Linked DNA regions of Astyanax mexicanus. The main gene of each other region encodes a partner of the protein of the gene in region 2 in a complex. Links are inferred from orthologs where the notes say so. Each region holds a gene or a part of one and is shown on either strand. Other genes may lie near its edges. The genes, in order: taf3, taf8 and taf13.

Region 1 (10,496 bases), on a different chromosome or scaffold from region 2:
TAGTGGGCCAACGAAGAAAATCAGCAAGGGATCAAATACTTCTTGGACTCACTGTATGTGTGTGTGCTAAAATATATTTAATTTTCATGAGGACACAATTAATCAGAAACAATTATACAATTACATTAAAATAAAACCAAAATAAAACTTTTCCTTCTGCTTGTTTGTTATTTGTGATGAACAGATTAGAGATATTCATTACTATCTTGACTACATGACTACATTTTCTGTATATTAGTGTAGTTAATATTATGCACTCATCATTACACACGTACAGTTCTGATTGGTGTAATACAAGACACATGTAATATCTAAGATGTATGCGACTGAAATCTCTATCTACAGGGCATCTACAGACATGGGGAAATAAAATGTAAGACTTTCAGAGAACACTTTCATAATAAGAATACACAGCACCAAAATAAGTTTACATAGTTTTCAGGGAACCTAATATTTTAAACAAAACTACATTCACAGTTTTGCACAAACAAACAAAATATATATATAACTGTTCATACACTGAAAATAGGGTGCTTTGCAAAATTGGGGTCATTCAGCTGGTTATGGATAAATGTATGTATCCTCATCACTTAATTCATTCTGCCATTAAGATTTATCAATAACCAACTGTATGAAAAAGATGAAAAGAAAGGCATCTCCTGAGAAATTACTCTTTACATTCTGTTGGTTATTGTTTTTTTGGTCACTATTTAGTGACCTCTGGTCTGTGTATCAATAATGTAAATGCAGTCTCTTGACTGTACACTAGATGGAGCTCCAAAAAAGAAGTTGCTAATAAATGAAGTACCGTATATATATTATGTGCTGTGTAGTTTAATTTTAGAAGTACTTACCTTCCTGCAGAGAGACAAGTGGAGGGAAGTATTCTGGGATGTAGTCTCTTCTCTCTCCTCGCAGGGCGTTGCGGGCGTCTGTTTCGAAGCCGGCAGCAGGGAACTGCAGCATGCTGCTCTTGGTGATTGGGAACTGAGGGATCTGCTGAGAGAAGGCCACTGGCTCCAGTTGGTTGATGTAGTCTTCCAGCTCTGCTATGTTCACCCCCATCAGTCCAAAGGCCCGGTCCACATCACTCAGAACGGGGTCCGTGCGTCCATCTACGGAGGGAAAGAAAGCACAATGTGGTGAAATGAAAAAAATGAAAATATTGAGTAAGGCCTGTCACAGTAAAAATTGTTATTGAATCCTTATACAATACATAAAAATGAGAACCAGTGCAGTCCCATTCTCACAGGTCAAATAAAAAAATAATAATGCTGTATATCTGTCAGATGGCAGACTGCACAAACAGAGCACAAAACAGATAAAATGAAAAAGTGTGTGATTAAAGCATTCAACAGGACTTTATTTTCATTCTTAGGGATTATGGTGTTAAAATGTCAAGTCCACAAAGATCATACAGACATAGAAATCCTTTTGTTCCTGGTGGGTGAAGGCAGTGTGGACCACAAAGGAAATAGCATCCTCTCTTGATATGTGAGTAGGAAAATGCAGAACTTGGAAGTAATAAACCGCCCACAACCACACTCATACAACATGGCAGCTGACATAAACGGATATATTGACAGCTGAAAGGACAATATATTCATTTTTATAATTTTGCAATTATTCACATCCATGGGACACACACTCTTAGTGTCACCCTTTTTAAATCTATTAGCACCTTCACTCACTAAAGCCTGAATTATATCTTTATTTAATATTGAATAGTAAACATTAAAAAAAAAATTTGACTGTCTCTGAATTTACAACACACAGTGTGGGTCCAGGATTATGCAGCCTATTAAATATTTTAAACCATGGTTCTCCGGAGGGAGTGTGTCTTTATGTGAAGTATACAAATAAAACAGCATATAAAACAGTATGTAAATATATACATATAGAATAAACTTAATTAAACATAATGTCAGTGATCAGTGAGAGTATCTATCTTTAATTAACTTTATATAACAACAGAATAAACCCAAATACGCATAGGGTCAGTGTTTAGTTAGAAAGTTTACATGTAATTAACTCTATATAACATTAGAATAAACCTAAATAAATATAAAGTCAGTGTTTGGTGAGAGTATCTACCTGTAACTAACTCTATATAACATTAGAATAAACCCAGTTTACATCCGTGGTTAGTGAGTGTCTCCCTGTAAAATTTTAACTATATAACTAATTATATTTTGTATAACAAATTCGCTATAGACCAGGGCAAAGTGGACAAGTTCATCCATACAGATGCTCGCTAGTTTGCGAGCTACCTTTATCTCTATGGCAACAGCCAGCATCAGCATCTTAAGCTCAAATATAGCATTAGACTTTACCGTTTTTTTTAGAAATATTTAAACTATATAAAGGCAAACAAATACATACAACACATTGCCCCTGCTTCAACAAACACCTCTGCCCTGCAATACCTGAGATTTGCTGTTTAATTAAGTTAATTCAGAAGCACGTACGTTTCCCCGCTAACTTTAGCATGCTAAATTAGCTACCATGCTAGCTAGCAAGCTAAGTATATAAATTACCTAATACAATATATTATAACGAGCAAATGTCAACCGCATGCATCACGAATTAACCCAATATCTGTCAATTTGTCCAAAAAGGTTAATTAAACACACAAAACAGGCACAACACGCGACTCTTTGGCCGCTAGCATATCTCACGTTAGCCAGTTAGCATGTTAGCAGGCAAGTTAGCTTAGCCAGCAGGCTAACGATGTAAACAGTGCGAGGCTAGGAAGTGTAAGAAGGGAAGTGTGCCTCAAAACAGCTCACTATAATACAATATTTGCTGGAAATATGAATATATTCACATTATATATTACATTAACGTGTTTTTCTGCTTCAGTTAAGCCTACTAACTTGACTTTTTGTTTATTTATTTTTTTACAGAATATTCATGATTGACTGCTTGGGTTGGCAATTTTAGCTACTATAGTGATGCTTGAAAGTTGTTTAACACTTTGAGGTTTTCTACTTATATTTTCAGAATAAATATTATGATATTATCAGATTTTCATACACAAGTCTAAAAAATGGATAAGGAAAACCCAACTATATTTGACTCTTTTTTATGAAGGGAAAACTATCCAATATTACATATCTGTGAGTAAACTAGAAGTCTATATAACATTAGAATAACCCAAATAAACATAAACTCAGTGGTCAGTGAGAGTGTCTACCTGTACTTACCTCTATATAATATTAGTATAAATCCAAATAAACATAAAGAAGACATTTAGTGCAAATATTGCTAACATACATTTTTTTACAGAATATTAAATATTGTGACTGCTTGAGTTGGCAACATCTTGTTAAACACCTTTAGAAGTATTTAAGTATATTTTCAACACAAATATGACCTGAAACTAGATAAGTAGAACCAAAGTAAACAAATGAGTCCAAATATCTAACTCAGTCATTTATTTATTATTTATAAATTACATATCTATGAGTGGCACAAGTATGTAAACCTTTGCTTTCTTCTGCAACAATAACTGTGACTAAATATTTTCAGAAATGGTTGTTTAGTTCTGCACATCAGCTCTAAACAATTGTAGTCCATTCCTCCATACAGAGCAGCTTCAGCCCTGTTATGTTGGTGAGTTCTTTATTCCAAAAAAATAACCTAATTCTTTAATATACCAAAAACCAACTGTTTTTGGTATATTATAAGTGTGTTTTGGACCATGTTGTTGCTGCATAACCATATTTGTTTGATATTTAGATCACAGACAGACGTCCTGACACTAGTTTAAAATTCCCTGTTCGATCAATAATGGCAAGTTCTCCTGGGACAGATGCTGCAAAACAGGCTTAAACCATGATACTACCAACATGTTCCACAGTTGAGATTTTTATACAGGAAGCCAGTGCTTTTCTGTCTCAAAACACAACACATGTAATTTAGGATCTAGCTATTTTGCACCAATTTATCCACAAAAATAGCCTTCTGGCTTGTCCATGTGATCTTAAGCCAACTGCAGATGGGCAGCAATGTTCCTGTGGGTGAACAGCTGCTTTTGCCTGGCATCTTTGCCATGCACAGAATTGTTGTTCAGTGCTCTTCTGATAGAAGACTAATGATAATTAACACTAACATAATTTGTATACAATGTGAGAAAGGTTTAGAAGTTGCTTAGAAGTAATTTTGAATCCATTGTGACTTTGGGGACTATTACACACCTTGCACTTGGTGTGATCTTTCTTTGTGGATGCTACTGGGAGAGGTAATGATGTAACTGTAATCTATCTGACTGTGGAGTCCAAACATTAGAGATGTTATTGAAACAATTTCAGCTTGATGTGAATCAACAATGCTTTCTCTGATGTTCCCAGAATTCACCTGTTTGTGGGAGATGATGCACTTCCATAAACATGGGTGGTGAGGATCTAAAACCTGACTCAATTTTTTAAACTATCTCCTAATCCTAAGTGTTTACATAGTTTTACTACACATATACACTATTGAATCATTGTCCTCAATAAAAACATGACCAAGTGTACTATATTTAGCCTCATGTTTGATTTGGTTCTACGTATCTTACTCACTTTCAAGATTTAGGACGTTTTAGATCAGACTTATGCAGAAATGTATGATAAACAGCTATATAGAGCTTACTCAAACCTATAAAAATGAAGAACTATTATTTAACAGACATTTAAGTATTAAGTTATTTACATTCACTGAGATCTGCTCTGCAGCTTTGGTGCACCAGTGTTCCCAAACAGAGGAGCAGGAAAAGCATAATTGCCTGAATTTCAACATTTTAACCTGTTTCTTCACACGTACAGAGCTAAGAGAGCTTCTGAATGCAGTTTTATTACGAACATGTCTCCATTAAAGCTCCAAAACAGTCAGAACACTGACTACCCTAGTGCTAGCTACCACCTGGAGCCCAGGCGCACACTCAAAACATTGGCTCCAAGAGCTGATAAATCAGTATTCTTGCACTCAAAACTCCACATAACACACCCCTAAGCCCTATTTCACATGTGTAAATCCCTTATTTCTACTCACAGAGCTCGGAGTAGCGGTGGCAGCCCCGGGCGAGCTGCTGCAGGTACCGCTCCAGCAGGTCGGAGAGCAGGTCGCAGGCGGAGAGCTGCACGGCGTCCCAGCCCAGCGCCTGGCAGACCTGCGCCACGGAGACCCGCAGCAGAGCGCGGGCATAGCTCTCACACATCTCTCAGCCCCGCCGAGCCGGACACGGCATATCCCACACCACAACAAGCCGCTAAAACACGCGCTGGACCGGCCTGCTGCTCCTGCTGCTGCTGTTTCTCCGGGCTGCTTCAGATCAGGAGGTCGGTTAGCGCTTCCATAGCAGGCGCCATCATTCACTCACTCAACCGATAGTCGAGTCATCGATTCCACGCATGCGCACAACACACACACAAGACCGTTCGCGACTCGATTATGTGCGGGATCATCTACACGTCCTTAATTTAAAAGCTCCCAATAAATAACACGGATAAAAAGTTCTCAATAAACAAACCAGATAAATAGCTTCCAATAAATGAACCAGATAAAAAAAACTCAATAAATAAACCAGATAAAAGGTTCCCATACATAAATCTAATACAAATGTTCCCAAAAAAATTTAAAAAACCTTCCCAATAAATTAACCAGATAAAAAACATTTCAATAAATAAACGGAAAAAAAATCTTAATAAATAAATTAAGAACTAAAGGAATAAAAAGTTCACAATAAATAAAGCAAATAAAAAAGTTCTCAATAAATAAAGCAGATAAAAAGGCTCTCAGTAAATAAGCCAGATAAAAAGTCCTCAATAAATACACCAGATTAAAAAAAGTTCTAAATACATAAACCAGAATGAAGGTTTTCTATAAATAAACCAAATTAAAAATGGTTCTAGTAAAAAAAGTTCCTAATAGGTTAACAGGATGAAAATAGTTCCAAATAATAAACATGTTTTTAAAAATCCAATAAATAAATCGAATAAAATGTTCATCTTAAAATAACGGATAAATAAGTTCCCAATAAATAAAACAGATATAAAAAATCTGAATAAAAGTGACGTTTAAATTACTCATTTACATGGAAAATTGTGTACATTACACACACATGGAATATGACATGTATTTAAACAAAACACAGAACTTTATTACTTATATTCCCTATATAAATTGTAGTAAACTATTGAACATATGTGATGAATACTATTTAGGCACATGTCAAATATGCCTTTAAAATATAACATTAATAATTATCCATTAAAAGAGTTTGTAGGAGACATTAAAAGAGGTTAAACTCCCCACCAGCCACATTTTGTTAAAAAGCGTTCTTTAGCTTTCATGGGACACAATGTTAGCTCCTGGAAGTTTAAATGGTCATCATCTTAAAGGGGTATTACTATTTTTTATTTGGCTCTGGATTGGGGACTTTTATTATAGTTGTTTAATACTTGTACACATTGCTCTTATTATTTTTTAAATGTGTCTAAAGTTGTAGACATCAAACCTATTTGTATATCTGCGCTGACCATCATTACAACATCAGACAAATAAATAATGCCAATTTATTAATGTTAAGTTTCTGTTGCTAATGTACACATATGCTTACATTAGCAACCATAATGTAACCATATGTAAGCACACTTAACCCCGTCACACTCATTCCTGTCACATTCAACTTTTCACACTCAACTCCATTCCATTAAACTCTGCCACATTCAATCACATTCAACCTGATCACATTCAATCCCGTCACACTCATTCCTGTCACATTCAACTTTCACACTCAACTACATCACATTTAACCTGTCACACTCAACCTCGTCACATTCAACCTCATCACACTCAGTCCTGTCTGCAGAGGTCAGTGAAGCATTATTTCGCTTTCATGGGACACAATGCTAGCTCCTGGAATTGAAGTTTAAATGGTCATAACTTTAAAAGAGCATTACTTTTTTTTATTTGGCTCTGCATTGGGGACTTTTATTATAGTTGTTTAATACTGGCTACTGCACTCCACCAAACTCCAAATGCTAAATCTAGATGATGAACAGAACTCTGGGACACGTGCAGGAATGGGTCAGATTAGCATGCATAAAGCACCTAACCACGATGGATCCAGTTGCCAGCAGGTGAATAATGCATGATTTGCCATCTGGCCAAACAAACTTTCCCCCTGGCGCAGTGCTATCAGTCAGGGGCCTCTCCCAGAGCCGCGATCAGCGACCCCAGAACTCACCCTTACTAAAGTGCAGTCACTCAACACCAGCACTGCTTCACATGCAGGCGTCACCCAAGCCCAGGCCGCCATGCCCGACTCGCTGCTGTTTATTAGGATGAGGGGTCGGGTTGCAGGGGGATAATGAGGAGGCTAAACTTGTTTTGATTGCCAATTATTATAAAACAACAATGGAGGGGCCGCGGAGGCGGTAGAGTTCATCAGTAATCAGTTCAGTGTAACTTAACCTGCTTTAATCAAAGAGCGCTGGCTGAGTGGTGGGAGAAGCTCACTGATTGGATTAAACCAGAAAGCTATTTTTTTTTTTAGGTCAAGCCTTTCCTTATATTAAGGAGGCTCCCTGTATCGATAACCCGAGTTAAGTCGCAACAATGGAGGAAAACAAATACAGTACAGGATTTTGTCATCTTACAACCACGAACATTAATGTATTTTATTGAGATTGTGATAAACCAACACATAATTGTAAAATGTTACAATGATGCTCAGCAGATGTTAGAGAAGCTAGGTCAGGACTTTCACTGGGCCATTCTAACACATAATTATTAACTAAATATATTGGCTATATGTTTAGGGTCATTGTCTTGCCGAAAGGTAAAACTGGTCCCTTTACAGTCTCAAGTCTTTTGCTGCCTCCAACAGGTTTTCTTTCAGAATTTCATTGTATTTGGCTCCATCTGTCTTCCCATCAACTCTAACCAGCTTTACTGTCCCTGCTGAAGGAAGCTTACCCACAACATGATGCTGCCACCACCATGTTTCACAGTTGGGTGCTGTATTCAGAGTAATGAGCAGTGTTACCTTTTCGCCACACAAAGCACTTTGCACTTTGTCCCAAAATGTAAACTTTGATATCGTTTGATCACAGGGACACATCTTCTTCCACATGTTTGATGTGCCCCCTACATGACTTGTGGCAAAGTGCAAAAGTCACTTCTCTATGAACTAATTCAGTGACTTCTGAGGGCAGTTGACTGCACTGGGTTTTATTTAGGGGTTTGAATACTTTTGCACATCACACTTTTCAGATTTTATTAGAATACATTTTTGAAAACCACATATCATTTTTGTTCCCTTTGTTTTGGTCTACCACTTCAAATCTCAATACAATAGGCCTACATTTAAATATGTTGTTGTGTGGTGACAAAATGTGAAAAAAGTTTAAGGGGTATAAATACTTTTGCAAGCTACTGTGGGCTACAATAAACAACAAAATATTGGAACAGCAGCTCATTCATGGTTTCTTCTGAAATCAAGGGTATTAAAGAGTTTGTCCTGCCTCTGTTGGAGTAACTGTCTCTACAGTTTAACAAATGCTTCCTTCTAGATTTTGGAACATTTCTGTGAGGATATGAAAGCAAAGCAAGTTGTGTGCATCTGCACATCTGTATCAGCAGTAAGTGTGACCTAAAAAGTAGCTGAATGCAGCATTCTTTAAAAGGGATATCCAAAAACATTCAGACATATAGTGTAAGTCCTTTACACTCTCCCCTAGTCAAGTTATACGCTGAATTATTGTAATAATAATTATGGAACAATTTTGAAGATATAAAAGGATAGGATAGTATATCAGCTATAACATTAACCTGCCGGTTAAGTGGATAATACTTAAAAATTTAAGCAAGAGAAGTGTAGGAATTTGTGACACGTTAAGACATGTTCTAGATCAAGAGTTTCCAAACCACTTAATCATCTGTAAGATGCTCCATGGCCCCCCGCAAAATACTTAATTTACCATCAGATTTGTAATTTTCTGCTCTTGTGCATGTAAAGCCTAGTGCTAGGGACTGTATTTTATAATTGTTTAGATTTATGTTTGCTGTTCTTGGTTCTCTCAGTCAGAGATACAGTAACTACTTCACATAAAAGATGATCAAGTTTCAGGGTCTTTTGTCAGGGTCAAAGTTTTTCACCATTTATCCCTAAAAGCAATCAACGAGCTTGACCTAAAATGTTTTTTTTAATAAATAAACCATTTAAATTAGATTTGCTGAATTATCTACAGCTTTTTGAAAACCTGGAATATAATTCAAGAGGAAGGTGGATGATCACAAACCATAAAACCAAACTAAACTGCTTGAATTTTTGCACCAGGAGTGGCATAAAGTTATCCAAAAGCAGTGTGTAAGACTGGTGGAGGAGAACATGCCAAGATGCATGAAAAGTGTGATTAAAACCAGGGTTATTCCACCAAATATTGATTTCTGAACTCTTAAAGCTTTATGAATATGAACTTGTTTTCTTTGCATTATCTGAGGTCTGAAAGCTCTGCATCTTTGTTATTCTCATTTTCTGCAAATAAATGGTCTAAATGATTATTTTTATTTGTAAATAAAAAAGAAAAATAACTTTGACCTGTGGTACAATCTTGAAAATTTAAAAGTCTAATATAAAACCAAAGTTGTCCAAAGTCAACTTCTTCAGTCAGAACATAAACAGTTTGAGGACAAAAATGAGACAGGGGCATTTATAGTGGAGGTCAATGTAAGAGGTTTATTTACTCATATCTTACAAACAGAAGCACAAATAGTATTTAACTTGACGCCAGATCACTGAACTGGAACGCATTCTTTCGCTCAGAACCAGAGGGGTGGTCCGGATGGGTCCTCTTTATCTGTGGAGAGAACGAAAAGACAAATGAATACTTTGACACAGTGAATCACATGGCTGTTTTTGTTTACCTACTACTAGGGCTGCAACACACTTCAGAATAAAAGTCTGAAAAGCAGAACAGGAATAGAATATAAATTAGAAATACAGCTGCAGCAGGTGTGTCACACAGCAGTATGGGTACAACAGATTACAGGGCTGGTGATTTCTGCACCTACTGTAACTGTAGATTAACCCTTATTTCTAAACAGAAAAGAAAAGGAATCAGAGGGGAATCTATTACATGCATTCTGATGCAGGACACACCCACACTCGAATAGAGTCTAAATGTGGCAGGGAGGCAGAATTCAGCACAACACCTGGTAAATCAACTCGCTACTTGACACAATCTGGAACATGACCTTCTACGAACCAGCCAGGATGATTTGTTGATGACACTATGTAGTAAAGTTGTTTAGTGCCCTCAGTCACTAAATTGCAGTATGAAACCAAAACTAACCGGACTAAATACAGTACAGAATACAATGAAACACAACACACACAAACCTTAATTCAGACTTTAAAAAGAGATCTATGCATAAATCATACATAAAATGTGTGTAATATCGACTGACATTCATAGCATGGGGCTCACAGTTCCGTGCAAACAACACAT
Region 2 (10,496 bases):
GGTACCGATTTCTGTACAGTGTTGATAGAAACCCAGGGGTTGTGACCTCTACCTTACATATATAGCCCTTTATTTACTTTCTAAAACAGTGCTTTCAACTTTAACCTAAATCTAACACAGCCCATTCAACCAATCAAGCAGTTCTAAAAGCAGTAATGAGTCGGATCAGGTGGGGTGGATTAGGGTTGGATCCAAAGTCTGACAAACTAACACAACAAAACGCTGATTGAAGCTTTATATTCAGTACCAGTCAAACTTTTGGGCACACGTTGATTTTTTTTATTTTTACAATTTTATTTAATTTTTTTCCCATTTTCTTCCCAATTTACACGGCCAATTACCCAACCCACTCATTACGACTCCTCCCATCACTAGTGATGCCCCAACACACCAGGAGAGTGAAGACTAACACATGCCTCCTCCGATACATTTGAAGTCAGCCACCACTTCTTTTCAGCCAGCGCACTTGGAGGAAAGCGCAGCGGCTCGGTTCTGATACATCAGCTCACAGATGCCGTGTGCTGCAGACATCACCCTAGGAGTGATGTGGGGAGAGAGCGCCATCTACCCACCTGGAGGGAGCGGGGCCAATTTTGCTCCCTCAGAGCGCCGGCGGCTTGATGGAAAATGTTGAATTTTATGCAGTAAAGGGTAGAAAAGTTAGAAAAAGTTAGTCCTCAATATAAATACCCTGACCTAAACTCAACTGAGATGGTGATTTGAGGTGATTTGGGATGAGCTGGTTCACAGCATAAAGAAAAAGCAGAAATTATTGAAGTATTAAATGGACGTCTATGGAAGTGTTGCAATCTAGTAGAGACATTTCTGAGAAACCCTTACTCCACCTGGCTGAGCACTAGCATGCTGAAACATGGCAGCTGCATGGCTCACCCAGATCACTGAGCTGCTAGTCCCTTGTATAACTACTAGGGGTGACCAACTGTCATATAGTACGTGATGCCGCCAAATATAAGTAATTACACCAGCAGGGTGATGCCCCAGCACTGCCGCAACACCAACCCCCCAAATACAGTAGCAGTCAAAAGTCATCCAAACTATGAAGAAAAATATATGGAATTATTTAATCAAATAAAGTGTCAAACAAACCAGAATATGTTTTATATTTTAGATTCTTTTAAGTAGGCACCCCTTGCTTTCTCAGTCAGCTTAATGAGAGGTAGAGTCACCTGGAATTCAGGCTTTCAGTTAACAGCTGTGCTGAACTCATCAAGAGTTACTCATTATTTGAATTTCTTGTCTCTTAATGTTAGTTTGAGGGCATCAGTTAGAGGTAGAGTTACAGGTAAACAGTGAACAGCTCTATTTATAGAGTAATGTTCTAATTCATAGTATGACAAGAACTACTCAACTAAGTAAAAAAAATAATTAGTATTCTGGATGACTAGTTTTTAGTTACAATGTATGAAAATAAGAAAAACATTAAATGAGAGGGTGTGTCCAAACTTTTGACTGGTACTGTTTATAGTAATAACTTTCTGATGAAGAATGAAGAGGAACTGAAACAAGAGAAATAAAATTATTTAGAAATAGAGCCTTTCATAGTAATTATGTTGTTTTTATACACCAGTTCCTTATTCCTTATATGAATGTAGGTGAACGTGTTGACAGATCTTTAAATGTCAGTCAGCCAATCAAATTTTAGTTTCCTGTGAATAAGAAAAAAACAAAAAATAATATAGGGACATTCTATTGTGTTTTTCATTTTTATGATTATTAAAGAAACATGTTAAGTAAACAGAAAATAACTTATTTACTTTTTAAAACCTGAACTCTGCTGTAAAACTGTGGACTACAAACACACTCATCAAGTTCTTCAGTACGGAACATTGAATTATCTCACATGCCCACATCACTCACGTACAGTGAGGAAGATCCAGTGTTTTGGTCACGTGATCAGGAGATGAGGACGCTTGAGCAGAGTTCTCTCTACTGACTTGGCACAAACTGCAACACAGGAACTTGCACAAGCATGTTGGCAGGGTTTGCTCATACATATTCATATTTAGTGGGTGTGGCAACAGATAGCACTGTCCTTAAATAGGGAGTGAAGCTTTTAGTCAGTCGCCTACTAATTCCTGAAGAGAGACGAATAAGGAGTTATCAGCTGAAGGGTCTACCTACAGGTTTTGGAAGTAAGTATGATTTTACTGTTTTACTTTGGTCATTTTAGTTTTTCTAATTTCTAACACTTGATATTCTTTACCTTGTTGATTGATTAGCTATCTATATTTAATAAATGCATGCATGCACTTAATATTATCAGCCCTTATTATTATCTAACTGGAAATGTTACTACAACTTTCTCACAATAACATTAATAAAATGTTCTAAAAATGTTACGAGATCATGTGAAAAAATTGTTGCTAGAGTAACTTTCAAAAACATTACAAAACCTAGTTTAAAAAAGAGATCTCCCAACATTCATGGAACATTAAAAAAATGTTATAAGACCTTGTTCGAAAAAATAGTTGCTTAAAAGGTTCTAAAAAAACATAACAAAACCTAGTTTAAAGTTTCCCAAATGGTAAAAGAAAACATTCCCAAATTACTTTAATGGAAAATTTCAAAAACATTACAAAACCTTAATCAAAGTTTCCCCAACGTTCATAGAATGTTCTAAAAATGTTACAATAACTTTTTTTCATTAAACATTCTAAAAACCTTTCAACACCTTGTTTAAAGTTTTCCAAATGTTAGGAAAAATCATCCAAACTGTAAGGAAAATGTGTTCCCACAATAACGTTCATGAAATGTTCTAAAAACATTACAAGACCATGTTCAAATTCCCCCAAATGTTAGGAGAAAACATTATATAAAACGTTTCAGGACCTTGTTCAAACTTCCTTAAATGTTAAAAAAATTGTTCACACAGTAACTTTCAAAGAACATTCAAAAAATGTTTCAAGACCTTGTTTAAAGTTCCTCTAATGTCATATCCAATCATATCCACAGTGATGTTCATGGAACGTTTTAAAAATATTACAAAGACTTGTTCATAGTTCCCTCAATGTTAGGAAAAATCATTCCCACAAACTATAATTTATAACGTTAGAGGAATGTTTAAAAAGCATAATTTTGTTAGTAGGATCAGGATGTTTAATCACAGTACTTACCTCAGTACTTTCTTTCCACTCTCTCCTCACAGACTCCAACACAGATTTCAACCTTAAACAACATCATGGAGACCATGCATGAGATCATCCCATTCGCCAAGGAGATGCTGAGTGCAGGGCCCTCCAAGGGCTCCATGAAGATTTACCTGGTGGGTGGCACCTTTGCCGTTCTGGGCATGGTCAGCGGGATGATGGAGGTGGCCTGCTCGCTCTTCCCCGAGCAGGACGAGCCCGTCCTAGAGAAGCTGGAGGAGATGGTCCCGGTGACGGAGAAGGCCCAGGAGGCCCAGACCGCCATCCCCGAGCCAGACGACATGGATGCTGAGATGGAAGCCAAGGCTAAGGAACTACCCATGCTCAGGCAGCGGCGCATGAGCTTCAGAGCACACGCCTCATAAACAGCACACACTCCGCCGCTACACGTACTCATGCACTTAGCCTGGAACAGAGACGAGTTCTGCCTTTGCACTGAGGGATTCTTACGCATGCCTGACGGAGAGGAAACGGAAAGTGTCTGTTGGGATTGAATGCTGCTGAGCAGCGCAAGTTGCTGGAAGTATCGGAAGCTCCATGTTATCAAATGTTACGTATCAGATGATGTAATGATGTATTGATTTTCTACTGGGTGAACGTTCGTTATTTATACAGGATGTATTAAAGTCTTTATAGAATGTGCTTAAGTCTGACTGCCAATGAATAAAGTATAGTTTCCTGAAAGTGTGTCCCTTCTTTTTTTCTTTGTTTAGGAATTCAGGGAAAGGTTGTGAAAAGGACTGAATTTTGAGGGTTGAGTTCTCCTGTTTTGCTAGGGAAACTACCGTATTTTACCCCTTCTTCCCCCGGCCTTCCTCATTACTATTTTTCCTGTAAATTTCTCATATTATATTATAATTTAAAAAATAATAATAATTAAGTGCCTGTCCAAACTGAAATGTCACTAACCTTGTGAGAAATGCCACCCAGGCTGCTGCAAGAGGCAGTTCTCCCGAGGTTAGCGCCGACAGCGGGAACAATCCTGAAACAACAAATCAGAGAAATTAATGGATGCAAGGAGAGAGAGAGAGAGAGAGAGGGCATTTATGCAAAAAAACAAAACCAAAAAAAAAAAACCACCATATTATAATGACACATACTCAAAAATACTATGTACATTTGTATATCAGAAAATACCATTGATCACAACAAAATAACATTAAAACAAAATATATATATATATACTATTTATAGTAATATATATAGAGAGTTTTAATGGCTTTTTAGGGCTGTATTAGTTTAATATAATGTTAACAAAAACAAAATTATTATCAACCTAATGAATAATGAAGGCACTTAATGCTACTTAATGAAAGCAGAGTTATTTAACATAATAATAAGGTTGAACCAAGTGTTAGCTACAGAATGAATGATATAATAAAATAATATTATTGCTAGATATAGCTATATTTTATGTCGTGTCAAATACGTTTCTATGGCACTTCCTTAAAAATGTATTAGTTATAATCTTTTTCCAATATTGTTTTCTTATTAAGAAACTTTAAAAACTAAATATTTTAATAGGATTTTATGTCGTAAGTTTTCAGTGCTTGATGTTTAAGGCTTTTATTTTGGAATATTATTAAAACGCTCAACGGGACTTTTATTATCTTATTATTCAGGCAGCCAACCCTAACGGAGGAGCTGCGAGGCTTTCCGCTAAACTCAGTGTTTATATAGATTAGCCTGCTGGATTTTAGAGCAGATATTAGTGTTGATGGTTTAATATGTAAGTAAAGAGATGGAGGATAGCGCGGTTAGAGGCAGCGGGGGGTTAAAGACTAGGCTGGGCTGAAATTTACCCGAGCATTTACCTGCTAGAACGCTGGCTAACCGGCTAGCTAGGCTAGGCTAAGCTAAATTATTACTGTGTGCTAACGGGGCTCAGCGAGCTGCTAATGCTAACTAGCTGTATTTAACGCTTTTAAAAACAACACATTCAGGAGCGGCGAGACCCACAGAGAAGAGCTTCAACATGCTGACAGGAGAGGTAACTCGCTTTTTACCCGCTTTATTATTACAATTATTATATAAAGAAAACAGCCTAGATAACGTTAGCTAACCTAACTTTTAAATAGGGGATAAATATAAGAGATTAAAATACGCTATACTGCCAAAAATTTTCATTTACCAATCAAATTCAGGTGTTCCTGAATAAGCATGCAGACTGCTTCTACAAAAATTAGTAAAAGAATGGGTCTTTCTTAGGCGTTCAGTGAATTTCCTCATTACTAACCTTCAATATTCCACAGTAGGACTGTAACTAATTACTGATTTAGTAGTCGACTAAGCTGTCGATTATTTGGTTAATTAGTCGAATTATTTGGTTAAGTAGTCGATTATTTTTGTCACGCCCTCCATATATAACTTATTACTGGTGAGGACCGCTAAACATTTAGGCCCAAAGAGAAATTTTGCAGTACATTTTGATAGTTTAACGTAAGTGTGTGAAACTAAAAATCATAAAATATATTATAGGAAACATTTACACAGACTGTATGTTATTTTCAGGATATTAAGTTATAGGATAATTGTAACTGTTTTTTTTCTTCGTTTTTTTTTTACAAGGAGATTTCTCCCTGAAATGATTGTTTGTCTAAAAAAAAATAATAATTTTTGTATTGTTATAGTCTATAGTTACAGTAACACATAACTTAATTTTATTGGAGTGGACAGAGTAAGTTACAGTTTCTCTCTAGCATTTAGCCAGCTGACATTAGTTTAACTAATGTTAGTAATGTTAATGAAGGAGTGAAGCTTGTTTAAACTTACCTCAGCAGCTCTCTGCAGTAATTTAACTTAAACCACGGGTAATATAGAAGCCACTGTTTTAACTTTGCAGTTAACAGAACTAGTAAACACAAACTGTAGAGTATAGTGTGGAGTTAAATGTGTTTGTTTGTGTTTAATGGAGACTAGTGCTGCTTTTACACTCTCTGCGCGTCTTTTCCGTTCTTTCTCTCCTGCTCTCTCACGTGCTGCAATCCCACCCATACTGAAACCTCATTGGTCAATTAAGCATGAAGAAAGGCCAATCAGGATGCTCAGGATTAGTCACTCTCTCACAAGGGCTGCGTCCAGAAACCCCAAAAGTGTCTCCTTTTTCCTACCGATCCTCCTCCTCTCCTCCGTGACCCGGAAACTGATTTCGTGAGGCCATCTTGCCGCCTGTCCGAATACCGTTGGAGACGAAAGAAGCCGCTTAAAATCCACCTGTAGTAGGCTTCCAACGGAGGGTACATCAGTGTATCCTACTCCGGAAGACTTTTAAGGATTTTTTAATGACATCACTGCATCCACGCCCACAGAGCACGCGAAAATGGGGAAGGCAACGCCCAAATATACGTCATAAACATATTAATTAACTAGGTTCCTTATCTAATTAAACAGCCAGTAAAGCAGTAATATAATTTATAGTTTAGATAAACTGTATGCTCAGTAAAACTATATTTATGACCCTATGTGTATCATGTTATACATATAAAAACATATATTATTTATAATATATATATATATATATAATTTTAATTAATTCATTTATTTACTTATTTATTTTAACTTAGGGACTGATGAGGAAACTGAATCCCTCATAAGGCTGAGGTCAGACAGGGCTGCCAGAGTCACTGGTCAGAGATGCGGCTGGGAGTAAACAGGATTTTATTGGAATATCTGAATTTTTGGCTGTGTGTGATAGTAATGTTCTGAAACGTGCTGAAAGTGAGCGTTGTGATTGGCTCAGTTCAACGGTAGTCAACATCCTATCTAAAAGGGATCAGCTGTCCCATTTCCCCAATTACAGCTCCTTCCCTCCATTCCTCCTCCTCCTCTCCTCTCCTCGATTCCTCCACCTTCTTCCGGGGTAGGAGAGGAGGAGTAGGAAAGGAGGAGGAGAGGAGGAGTAGCAAAAGTTTCTGGACGCAGCCTATGTGTGTGTGTCTTCCTCTCTCGCATGCATGTGCTCGCGTGCATGTGCTCTTTTATATCGTATTTACGAAGTGAGAGCACATGTACACCACCAAAAACTCATATTTACCAGTAGGAAACTCGAATTTTTAGAAAAGAGTGTTCCGGTTGGGGGCCTGTCAGTAACTAGAGGGCATGGTGGCTGCCAGTATGAACCCTGCTCCTACAGTAAACAGTCAAAACTTGAAGCTTATAAGCAAAAGTTTTAAGTTTTACAGGTTTAAAAAAAAAAAAATTAAAACGTAAAATTCTGCTATGAATTACAGTTCTAATGGGAAAAAAACACCACTCACCTAATGCGTGTTATTTGCTTCATTCTCTTGGAGTAGGGAAAAATATACCACTTTTATATGAGAGTATAAACAAAAGGATTTTCCCAATGAGGTCCATTTTCACCGGACCAAAAAACACTGGAACGCATGGCAAGTCGTAATTACGACTTCCAGCTTCGTAAATAGGAATTTTCTTGGTGAACTTGAAGGCATCATCTTTCTCTCGCTTCATCACACCTTAACGATGCATCAACAATTTTTTATAACCAACGGCGTCGATTGTGCTGACTAATTGTTAACAGTGTTACTATAATCATGAAAAACTATGGATTTTATAACTATTTATAACTATAACTGTACCCGACTGGGTATCGGATGTTGGTATTGGAGCCTCATTTGCAAAAACAAGTTTAAGCGATTGGGAATGTCAGCAACTTTCTCCACAATCAACCGCTTCCATGGCTGAGCATCTCTATCCAAGCTTTACATCACCAAGGACAGTGCAGAGCATCAGATTCAGTTGTGTAAAACAGTTGCCATTGGGTTCTAGAACAATTCAATGCATGTGTTTGGGTTTGGCGGTTGCCAGGAGTGCACGGCGCCAAGCATAAAGTTTGGTGGAGGGGAGATTAGATGCAGGTTTTTTTTTTTTTTTTTTGAGATTTTGGATTATCACAACTTCGCTGTAGTTTGGGATGCCCCCTTCCTGTTTCAACATGACTGCATAGCTGGTTTCAGGTGTTTTAAACTGGTCTTTTTAGAGGTAAAGGTGGTTTAAAGGCTGGCCATTCCGGCATGCTGGTTATTGAGCAGACCACACCGTCAAACATATTTGATGTAAAGAAAACTATATAAAACAAAATAAATGCACTCTGTCTTAACCACATATAATTTATCATCACAGATATAGGTTTATTTTACAATTACCTACCAGTATGCATTGGATTTTCTTTATCCAAATTAATTTGTTCCTTATTATATTTCTTCTTAATTGCAGCGGTCAGGAGGTAACAAGTCGAACACGAGCCCTGCAGAGAACTACTACCTGGCTCGGAGGCGCACTCTTCAGGTGGTGGTCAGCTCTCTGTTGACAGAATGTGGCTTCGAGAGTGCAGAGAAAGCTGCGGTGGAAACTTTAACAGAAATGATGCAGAGCTGTAAGTAAACTCAGGAGGGATACCACTACCAGTCAAATTCTTCTGTCACACCAATCTGTCACAATAATTACAATATTGACTTGTCATACAGTATATAGGGCCCTGTGAAATCTGTTTTATTTTTTGAAAATTACTTTAATTTTTTTTCTGTTCACATTTTTGATTTTTAGGTATATACTAGTGCATCTAAAAAACAGAATATCATCGAAAAGATACTTTATTTCAGTAATTGAGTTCAAAATGTGTAGATGTATGATGTCAATTGACACAAAAAAGCAGCACCAACTTTCGTAACCAGTAGATAAGTCCTCATATTGAGAAACTGCAGCCTGATATGACTGAGCATGTGTTGCCCTGTACAGAGTTGGTGTCTTTTTTTCTCTTTTCATTTCATTTCATTTCATTTCATTTGACTCTTCTTATGTAGTTAAAGGATTACTGTAGTTCTGTACTAAATTTGTGTGATTTTTAACCTTTTTTTTTTTTTTTTTAAAGATATAACTGAAGTAGGCCGCTGTGCAAAGGCGAGCTGTGAGCATACAGCGAGAAGCACTCCCACACTGTCAGACGTGGTCATCACACTGGTGGAAATGGGTAAGCTTAAGTCTTAGTTAAATATAAACATTCAAAACACACAGTGGACAGAGGAGTGGGTGGGAATGATCATGACTGGCAGTGTCTGGCTCAAATTGTCAAACATGCCAACAGACGTGTGACTTTAATTATGTCGTCGCTATCCAATGAAAAGCAAAGTCTCCATTTTTGTCGGTTTTTAGTTTACCACATAATTTGAATAGACAAATTGTCGCTTACAATGTGCCAAAATTTATCGATGAACGAATTATTAGAAATACTTAAAAATGACCTGAAATTAACTCTTTTTTTTATGTTGACTTCCATTAAAAATGAAAAAGGTTTAGTTTTTTTCCTATAAAATGTAGATTGGAGATACTAGTTTTTCATTGGACAGAAACAATATACAAATTTAATGCAGGAGACTCCACATGCATATGCCACAGATCAGTGTAGCATTATTTAGCTTCCATGAAACATGGCAGAACACATGTTGGCAGGATAACTAGTTTCTGTCCCATGACATTTTGTTTTTTGTTTGTTAATGAACTGTCGTGTCTTATTTTATTATTTTTGTGTGTTTTTTGTTTATCTTTTGAAAAATTGCAGCAGTTTTCATTAGCACAGGCCTATTTTTGTACATTTTTTAATAGTTTATATTAAGCTTGAAGAGACAAGCACTGATTGACTTACATAAGATCATAAGATGTTGTTAATTTGTGCTGCACAGATCCTTACTTGCAATCATGCAGGGTTTTGTTGGCTGCCAGGGCCTGTCAAATGTCTCTGTCTGCTAATAACTGAAACCAAAAATCTGTCCTCCTGCTGGACTTGTTCTGCTCCAGCGAGAGGTCAGTCTGAAATTACAACACAGAACCACTGTCTGAAGGGTTGCAGGCTGGAGGCCACATCATCCTTCACCCTGGTTTTCTCAGAAACGTTACAAAGGGGAAAAAGCAAAGCTCAGATTCAGTATTCAGAGATATTCACCATACATTCTTAATTATTGTATTATTTTGTTCTGTTTATTGTATAGTTGCTTGCTTATATTAGGCATATGTTTGTTTGTATTCATAATAAGCTTTTTACAGTGGTCTGGACAGTGGTTTGTACATATAGAATATTAAAATATCATTTTCTTTCTTATAATAATTGTAGGATTCAATGTAGACACACTTCCAGTGTATGCCAAAAGATCCCAGAGGATGGTCATAACTGCACGTAAGTGTCTTGCTTTGTTTTCTTTATTTTTATGTATTAGGGCTGCAAGTATTAATGCACTACAAGCGGGTAGTGCACTATAGGACCCTAAGCTTTTGTCCTTAATGGCATTTTTCCCCACTTATATTACTTTTACTTTTATA
Region 3 (9,622 bases), about 30 Mb from region 2:
TGTGTGCATCCAGATTACTTGCTTAGGCGCCACATTCCGGGAGTTAAATTTCGGAATTGCCATGTAGAGGCACTGAGTGGGAGATAACCTGCTGATCCTTAAAATAGCATTAATGCGCCAACTGCAGTGCGCATGGCTGAGAAAAAGCCTAAAACTTAACCATTTGAACATTAGACTATTTTAAACTGTATTATTCAGGAAGTTGTATGAATTATCCTATGATTACATTGAACTAATATTTAAGTTGTGTATTTTGAGAGTAAATTTAAGTGCGGGCTAATATACAGGCCTAGAATGTTTAAAGGGTTAGTAAACAGTATTTATTATTAAAAGTGCTAAGAAAAATAAAATGGGTCTTATTATATTTGTTTGTATTAATAATTTTTTTCTTAAACCTAATTTTTACAAAGTCTGACAAAATCTGAGTCTGACATTCACCAATATTATCTAACTTGGCATTTGTTCAGTTTGAATGAACAATAAATCTGACAAAAATTGGACACAAATTGGTTGGACAATTCTCCAAAACAAATGTAGAAAGAAACTTCGTAGGAATATATTGGTAGATACGGCCTGTTATTATTACACCCAGCATTTCTCATCATCAGGATTATGACAAAGAAATATGGTTGTATAAAGTGAATGATGGTATATTTTAATCATTGCTGTTGTGTGGGTTGTCAGACTGACGCACAGCAGGAGGCCCGCTCCTACCTGAGCGAGGAGATGCTTGCTGGTGAGTGGCTGTATTAACGAATGAATTAATCAGTTCTAAATGTGTACTGTAGTGTTTGTTTGATGTATGATGAGATTTTTGTTTCTTGCAATAACAGAGTTCAAGGCTGCCTTTGACATGTTCGACACTGACGGTGGCGGTGACATCAGCACCAATGAGTTGGGTACTGTCATGAGGATGTTGGGTCAGAATCCAACCAGAGAGGAGTTGGCTGAAATCATTGAGGAGGTGGATGAGGATGGTAAGGACTTGGGGACACTTGTAAAAACAGCATGTTGATTATACTACTGTCTATATAAGTAGGTCTAATGCACTATGCGATATTACTTTAGCGAAAATGGCTGTACACTTCTTTTTGATCAACCTCAGGCAGCGGATCCATTGACTTTGAAGAGTTCTTGGTCATGATGGTGAGGCTCCTAAAGGAGGACCAGGCTGGCAAGAGCGAGGAAGAGTTGGCAGAGTGCTTCCGTGTATTTGACAAGTATGTCACGACTCACTGATATAGACTAGGCTTCTCCAGATGAATGGTATTTATTCAATGGATGATTGACCTTGCATTTCCTGGCGGTTTCGCAGGAACGCTGATGGCTACATTGACAGAGAGGAGTTTGCTGAGATCATCCGCAGCACTGGCGAGTCCATCACAGAAGATGAGATTGATGAGCTGCTGAAGGACGGAGACAAGAACGCAGATGGCATGCTTGACTTTGACGGTATGACGGCTTTTATGTCTAAGAATGTCATTGAATATGCAGGGGTTATTGTTAGTATTAAAAACTCTTATATACACTGTGTTGGCAGTACTGTAGTTTTCTATGAATTATAGTCAAGTATACACGCTTGTATAATAATACATTATTATTATGATTATTATGCTGTGGCTAAATATTGTTGCACCAGTTTAATGGAGGACTACAATGCCTTTATTTTTCAGAATTCCTCAAGATGATGGAGAACGTGCAGTAAAACAGAGACTCATGGACATTCCTCCCCCCTTTGACCCCCTGTCAACTCAAGCCCATTCTTTCAAACCTACTCATGCCCCCTTTTACCCTTTTGCCCACCATCTGCTCCGTTGACTCTCCTTCTTCATCTCAACACAGCTATGCCGCTTCAACAGACATAACAGACAGACACCTGGGTGGGGTCTGCCAAGGTTCAGCATGCAAACAATCATGATCCTGGGGTACGTTTAACCCGCATGTTCCTGGAAGAGCCAAGCTGTGGCGTCTGTGGTGCCAGTACATCAAAAACACGCACCACGCCATGGTGGACCCCCGCAATGCTGGGCGTTTAGTCGAGATTTAGACTAGATCAGCAGGCAGCTTGTTACCGCTGCTTAGACCAATGCAACAACCTCTCATACTTCATTGTATTTAAGATCAAACGCTTGAAAGAAAGTACAGAATAAAAAATAAAAGACATGCTCGTGTTTAGTTGGTCTGTTTAGTCAAATCTGTATTTGGTTATGTTCTGAGGAATTCATCAATAAAGCTTTTTTTTTTTTTTTCGTTTTTCTTCCCCAAGTCTCATTGACCCAAATAAGGATTGAGATGACTGGTCATTCATAATATGGTTGTGCTTCAGTTTCATCAGTCAACCCATATGCGAAATGTCTATGTAAAATGGATGAGAAAAAAAACGTAAAATCTTAAGATGCTTGAGAATAATGTGTGATGATTGCTTCCTTCTTAATAGGCAGGTCACGCTCGACCATCTCGGGCTAATTCCTTGCTGCATTGTTGTTGATTCAATATGAATCACTTCACAATATAATTATGCATTTATTGTTCATTCTTCAATCAGAGGTCTTGAGAACATGATTGCACATATATCATGACCGTGGTCCAAGTGTTACACTGAAGTGTAAATGTTTGATTAATTGTAGTAACTGTAGTATTGCAGACACCACCAAAATATCTTGCTTGAAATAAACCCTGTATTTAGTTGTGCACAGATAGCAAATTCTCCTGCTAATCAGAGCATATATAATTTTTACGCATTATTGCAGACATCATTATTTCGCTATTGCTGTCTTTAATTTTTATTTAGAGTCTTAAATTTCAACTACTTCGTAATATGGCAGTGCTCTGGAGAGAACTGCTAAATCTTTTGTATGACTTTCCAAATATGGGCACATATAGGCAGTGTCCAAAATAAAAGGCAGCTGCCTCAGTGCCTTGCTGCCTATGCAGTCTCCTATAGTAAGTACCTTAGAAGGCAGAACTATGATGAGGGTGCTTCAGCCAGATTGTGTTTGAGATGCACTTTAAATATAGCAACACCATGAAACTGACATGACTAGTGGTGTAACTAATTCTAATCATAAAGACATAAAAAGCCAAAATACTGACGACAACTGATAATTTGGGTAAATAATTGTAAAAAACGTACATTTGTTACGTACGTATTTCTGCTGATTGCCGCGTGCTTGGGTCATGTTCGCAAGTCGAGGCAGCTGTAACCCAAAGAATCATGGGTTATGTAAGATACATCCATGCTGCCTTTACAATTAAGCAAAAGGTACCATAACAGACAGTTTTTTTAAACAAGTGCTTGATTCCATACCTTTTTTGTCTCCAAACACTGCCTGAGTAGATGTAATTTATTACATTTTAAAAAGAGCCATAGTCATTAATATAGTACTGTGGGAAAGTTACATATGACACCTCCTATTTAATTTTAACGATGGTCAAAACACTGCCTCTAATAAACAGCACAAAGCTTTCATCTTATAGAAAGCAAATGTCAAGATCTATTTTTAGTACTAAACTGAAGTAAAAAAAAGTGCTGGGCAATACAAAAAAAACATCAATATTTGTCGAATATATGATTGATTCTTGATTGCGATTTAGATTTTAAATTCCTACACAACTAGTTTTTTTATTTGTAAACAGAGAGCACTATTTAAAGTGATGAGCAAGCTATTGTATCCTTTACACTTCATTTAGTTGTTTTGTTTTGTTATTTGTACAAATAGTTAGCAGACCTCTTCAACATTACAGCAGCTTTTATATTAGACAAGTTGCAAACGTAACCTTCCTGTATTACAGTTTCTGACAAGTGTAAAATATGACAATCTCTGCCACATAATACTTTCTTGTTTCTGACAGAAGCAAATATCTATCTACTGAGATTTACTCTGATGTTATATAGATGTACTACACACAGAATGATCTATTTTAAGCATGTATTTATTTTATTGTTGAGTCAATGAAACACCAAAAAACAGTCTCAAAAAATGTATTATATTATATAAAATCAACTGGTACTTTATATTACACAAAAGGCAGCCAGCACCAGCAGATGACTTGGCGCTCAAAACTATTGTTGATCATGAGTAAGTTTTACATTTTGTTAGGAAATCAAGGAACCAGAGTCTGGAGGAAGAGTGGAGAAACACACAGACCAAACTGCTCGAGGTCTAGGGTGAAGTTTCCACAATCAGTGATGGTTTGGAGAGACATGTCATCTGCTGCTTCTCTCTGCTGATAACTTTTATGGAGATGTGGTTTTCTTTTTCCAGCAGGACTTGGCACACTGCCAAAAGTATTTATTAGTCTTATATAATATTCTAATGTTCCGTCACTGATGTTTGGGTTTTTATTGGCTGTAAGCAGTCATCGCCAACAATAAATTAAATAAACACTTAAAATACATTGTGTGTTTGGAACAACTTAAAAGGAAAGAAGTGAACTCCTCTACTTCAGGAGGAGGTTTGAAAAAAAATTAATTACAAGACTTACAAATTCTAAGTGTTTTTCAAAAAGAACAAACGCTAAAAAATGAATAAAACATCTGCTTATTTATTTGTTGATGGTTCTGTTTAATTTTCCACACAGGTGCCGGAAAATGTAAAAACAAAACAATTGTTATAACAGAGCTGCAATAAATTTGAAGATCAATCCCTGCTTTAAAAAAATCCAGATAAGAACCAGCTGGTCATCCAGACCTATGTTGGTAGTCCAGCTGGTCTTGACCTGTATTTTTAGCAGGGATTACTTTTGCACAGTGCTTTATACAATCAGCCTACAGAAATTAAAACTTTACTAGACCTGTTCCAACTTTAATTCAACCAAGTAGGTCACCTTAAACATACAAACAGTTAAAGAAAATGCAAAAACAACAGGAAAAACGCATTTTATAAGAACCGGACATGTTTGTGAAACGTGCTGACCAATATACCAGCACAAAACACTGAGTTTTTAAGTCGTTTTAAACCCAGCAGTGGTAGAGAAACCACCACCACAGACTGTTCGTGTGTGAGAGACAGTTTAGGACCCATAGTTGGCCTCGTCGAAAGCCTTGCGAGCTCTCTTCAGCTCCTCGTTCATGGTGAGCAGATCTTTCACCCTGGCGAACTTTCTCGGGTCTTTTCTGATGAGAAACACGATGTCCTCCACCTGGACGCGGCCCTGCCGCCCGATGGACATGGCTTTGTGGGTCATCTCCGTGATGAACTCGATCACCAGGTCCTCCAGGATGTCCACTGACTCCGTGTAGGGGTTCTGGTCGTCTCCGAAGCCGTACATCATGCAGCGCAGCTCCTTAGAAAACAGCCTCTTTCTCCTGCCGTGTCCTGAATCCACACCGTTTCCAACATCGTCCAGATCTTCATCAAAGCCCGGATCATCGTCTTCCTCAGCCATGTTTGTGCTGCGGCCCGCAGTAGCGCTGAAGTCCCCTACTATCAACCAGAAACTCAATTCAGATACGGCAGGACACACACAAACACACACTGTTCAGACTCTAACTGTTATCCGTATAAAAAAAACGTAAGCAGTTTCCTGAATATGTAACTTACTTATGTAACTTTAAGCGCCAACCAGCTACAGAACCTTTTCTCTGGCGTTACAGCCACAAACACACACTTCCTCTTCTACTAGGACTTTACGAAGCTCTATAGAAGCACTGCTGCCACCTAGAGATCTGCACACAACTGCATCAACCTGCTTCATACTGCAGGAAAAAAAAGAAAAACATATATACAACTCTGAAAAAGAATAAGTGATTTGCTATTTATAGGTATACGTTTGAATAAAATGAACATTGTTGTTTTATTCTATAAATTACGGACAATATTTCTCCCAAATTCCAATTACAAATATTGCCATTTACAGCATGGATTTGCAGAAAATGAGAAATGGCTGAAATAACAAAAAAGATGCAGAGCTTTTAGATCTCAAATAATGCAAAGAAAACAAGTTCATATTCATAAAGTTTTAGGAGTTCTGAAATCAATATTTGATTAAATAGCCCTGTTTTTTATTCACAGTTTTCATGCATCTTGGCATGTTCTCCTCCACCAGTCTTACACACTGCTTTGGATAACTTTTTGCTACTCCTGGTGCAGAGATTTAAGCAGTTCAGCTTGGTTTGATGGATTGTAATCATCTTCTTCTGGATTTTATTTCAGAGGTTTTCAATTTGGTAAAATAAAAAAAACTCATAATTTTGTGACAATAAAGTATTTTTTTGAACACACTCATTCAAAATAAAAAAATCTGATTATGCTTATTTTCTACATTGTAATAATAATAATAATAATAATAATTAGTATAATAATAATAATAGTTATTAGTATTATTATTATCTATTTATTTATTTTTAGAACCTCCTAAAATTATATATATGTATTTTTAATTAAAAATAAATCTTAACACGTGTTTGGCGGCGAGTGATCGCTCGCAGCGCCCCCTGCAGTATTGGAGTAATGTATAAATATTGACGAAGGGTGTTTGCTGAAAGCTTGAATTGTGATCTGAAAAAAATGTTTTGAACAAAAAAAATTAATAAAAAAAAACAGCCTTTTAATACCAGTTACAGTTTAATTACAAGTTCACCAGCTACCACACTAATTACCAGTGTGTGTAGTGTGTGTAGTATAGGCTGTGTGTTCGGGCCACATTTCCCGGGGTGCACTGCATGTACACGTCAGAGGAGCGTGGCCGCTGCTGCTGCTGCTGCTGCCAGACACCAAAACAGAACGGAGTTATATATATACCATGGTGAATGAGTGTAGCGGACCCTGATCACCTGAGTAACTATACATTACCATTAAATCATCACTATCAGCAGCCCGAGACTCCATACTACAGGAACAGCTATGGTAACATAGCTCTTTACTAGGAGTACAGTCTGTAACTGGAGGGAACAATGTTAACCAGGTAAGAGAGTCTGAACACTGAGGTTTAGCTGGGTTAGCTGTTGGGTAGCGGTGGGTTAACCAGGATAATGGACAGGTTAACTCTAGGTTACACTGTAAGATGTTGATAGTTAGTTAGTAAGGTTAGCTAACTGGCTGCCTGTTTATCTACTTAAACACACAGCTTGTTTTCAAATGGACCTGAAGGACAGGTTAGGGCACGTGCTGCTCGTTCTTTGCATGCTAGCTATAAGTAACCTGCCACATGACTTCATTAGTATTTAATAGTCGTAATATGGTCTATTGTGTTTATTTGTATATTTGTTCACATAAATACTCCATACACACAGTAGGATTAATTAAAATGCTTTTTTATGGTATTATATTATATTAAAATTTATATCAGTAGCACTTAATGGCATTTAAATTTAGGGGAGTCTCATAGTCGGAAAACATACTTTCATACAGCTCGGGAAAAAAATAAGAGACCAAAAAAGAGTTAAAAAAAAGTTTCTTTGATTTTACCAAATTGAAAACCTCTGGAATATAATCAAGAGGAAGATGGATGATCACAAGCCATCAAACCAAACAGAACTGTTTGAATGTTTGCACCTGGAGTGGCATGAAGTTATCCAAAAGCAGTGTGAAAGACTGGTGGAGTAGAACATGCCAAGATGCATGAAAACTGTAAAACATCCAGCTTGAAATCCAGCTTGTTTTATTGCAGCAAGTATATGTATGTTTTTACTATTCTTGTTTTTTTGACTGACCCTTAATATGTCATTGTTTTGCTAGGTAGACGTCTCATTCCTGTCTGGGGAACGTGCAGAGCCTAGTGTGTGGCGATGGCATGGCCGGTGTCGATCATTTGCCGGGCACTCCGCAATGTGGGCTTGGTTCTTTTCTACTATGTCTTCTCAATAGGAATCACTTTCTACAACAAGTGGCTCATGAAGGTGAGGCAAATTTCTCATTTCACGCTCTTATTGTAGATGGCAAAGACGTCAAAGAAATTATTTGGTCAGATTTACATGGTTTACCACTTTGTGGGTTGCGAGTGTTGAGTGGGGAAATTTGTACTCATAAAATTCTTTCAAGGTTGGCATGCCTGTAATTGTTGTGCACATTGTGGTCTAGATTTAAAAATTAATATTGTTATTCAAAAAAATGTGTAGCAGAAATTTGTTGAGATTTGTGCAGCAGCAGTAAGAGCAAAAACTGTCCCTGTCCTGTTGCTACTGTCCCGCGACACTCTCCTACTGTCCCGCGACACTCTCCTACTGTCCCGCGACACTCACCTACTGTCCCGCGACACTCACCTACTGTCCCGCGACACTCTCCTACTGTCCCGCGACACTCTCCTACTGTCTCGCGACACTCACCTACTGTCCCGAGACACTCTCCTACTGTCTTGCGACACTCTCCTACTGTCCTGCAGAGCTCTTTAACTGTACCGCGGAGGTTTTTAACTGTACCGCGGAGGTTTTTAACTGTACCGTGAGGTTTTTAACTGTACCGTGGAGGTTTTTAACTGTACCGCGGAGGTTTTTAACTGTACCGCGGAGGTTTTTAACTGTACCGTGGAGGGTTTTAACTGTACCGCGGAGGTTTTTAACTGTACCGCGGAGTTTTTTTTAACTGTACCGCGGAGGTTTTTAACTGTTTTAACTGTCCTGCAGAGCTTTTTAACTGTCCTGTGGAGCTTTTAACTGTGCCGCAATGTGATACATTGTGTCTTATGAGACGACTTAAGACTTATGAGATAATTCCCCTAGATTTGACCATCAAATCTATTATATAATATTTCCAGTGTCATAATACAAAATATCAAATATCAAAAATAGTATGACTTTAAATTAATAACTAATATGGACACAGGTAACGACCTTGTTCATGTCTGCACACACATTACATGTGTATTTAGCCTAATCTCACAGTTATCACACTCATATATCTCTTTTATATTCTATATCACATTCTGGTATAATTATATTTTTTATTATTCATTTTTTTCTGATGTGTGTGTACTTATGTGTGTCTGTATATAAGTTCCTGGAACAGTCTAATTAATAAATTATTTTTTTTTTGCTATATTCTCGTTTATTATTGTTTATCTACATTCTATTAAAGTCTAAATTAGTCTAAATTAAGTCTAAAAGTCTAAATTTTAGTTAAAGCATTTGCACAGCATTTTGCTTATTTTTTTCTTGGTAAATTTTCTTTAAAAATAATCAATAAAATCTAGGTGTTTGCGTTACACTTAAATTCATAAATCAGTCATCATAAATCACCATCATGAAAAAAAACGTATGTGCTTGTTTTGGGCTCTGAATTACTTAAATAATGTAAAATATCATTTCAATTGCTGATATTTAGATTTTTGCAGTGTAGGTATGAAACGATTTCAGTGACACCGTTTAATTTGTGGTCTTTTGATAGAGCCTATTCTATTGCTTATTACACTGTTTTTCAATCCTGGTCTTTAAGGGCCACTGCCCTGCACATTTTATTAATTGTCATACTTTGACAGCCCCACATTAACACAATAATTGACAGCTGATTGTCTGGTGTATTGGAAGCAGGGACAACTCCAAAAACTGCAGGACAGTGGGCCTCCTTGGCCAGGGTTGAGAAACACTGGCCTATTCCATCAAAATCCCATCACTGTGTATTTGTATTAGTTACAATTAGGGTTGTGCCGATGGACAATATCATATTATTTATTATTATTATATTAT

The links.
Region 1: taf8 (region 2) and taf3 share a complex: the UniProt entries of both Homo sapiens proteins name them as parts of the TFIID basal transcription factor complex. The link is inferred for Astyanax mexicanus from reciprocal best matches to the Homo sapiens genes TAF8 and TAF3.
Region 3: taf8 (region 2) and taf13 share a complex: the UniProt entries of both Homo sapiens proteins name them as parts of the TFIID basal transcription factor complex. The link is inferred for Astyanax mexicanus from reciprocal best matches to the Homo sapiens genes TAF8 and TAF13.

The regions. Positions count from the first base shown.
Region 1 is NC_064409.1:21,101,564-21,112,059, reverse strand, and holds the start of taf3 (transcription initiation factor TFIID subunit 3), read right to left. Parts: upstream 5,382-10,496; 5' UTR 5,201-5,381; coding exon 5,035-5,200; intron 1,116-5,034; coding exon 855-1,115; intron 1-854. UniProt on the Homo sapiens protein: The TFIID basal transcription factor complex plays a major role in the initiation of RNA polymerase II (Pol II)-dependent transcription.
Region 2 is NC_064420.1:4,725,134-4,735,629, forward strand, and holds the start of taf8 (transcription initiation factor TFIID subunit 8), read left to right. Parts: upstream 1-4,777; 5' UTR 4,778-5,142; coding exon 5,143-5,157; intron 5,158-8,399; coding exon 8,400-8,559; intron 8,560-9,054; coding exon 9,055-9,153; intron 9,154-10,290; coding exon 10,291-10,353; intron 10,354-10,496. Other genes in the region: g0s2 (G0/G1 switch protein 2), read left to right, coding at 3,200-3,532. UniProt on the Homo sapiens protein: The TFIID basal transcription factor complex plays a major role in the initiation of RNA polymerase II (Pol II)-dependent transcription.
Region 3 is NC_064420.1:35,139,089-35,148,710, forward strand, and holds taf13 (transcription initiation factor TFIID subunit 13), read right to left. Parts: upstream 5,682-9,622; 5' UTR 5,544-5,681; intron 5,427-5,543; 5' UTR 5,389-5,426; coding exon 5,014-5,388; 3' UTR 4,526-5,013; downstream 1-4,525. Other genes in the region: troponin C, skeletal muscle, read left to right, coding at 685-736, 834-977, 1,106-1,220, 1,316-1,452, 1,674-1,705; slc35c2 (solute carrier family 35 member C2), read left to right, coding at 7,730-7,840. UniProt on the Homo sapiens protein: The TFIID basal transcription factor complex plays a major role in the initiation of RNA polymerase II (Pol II)-dependent transcription.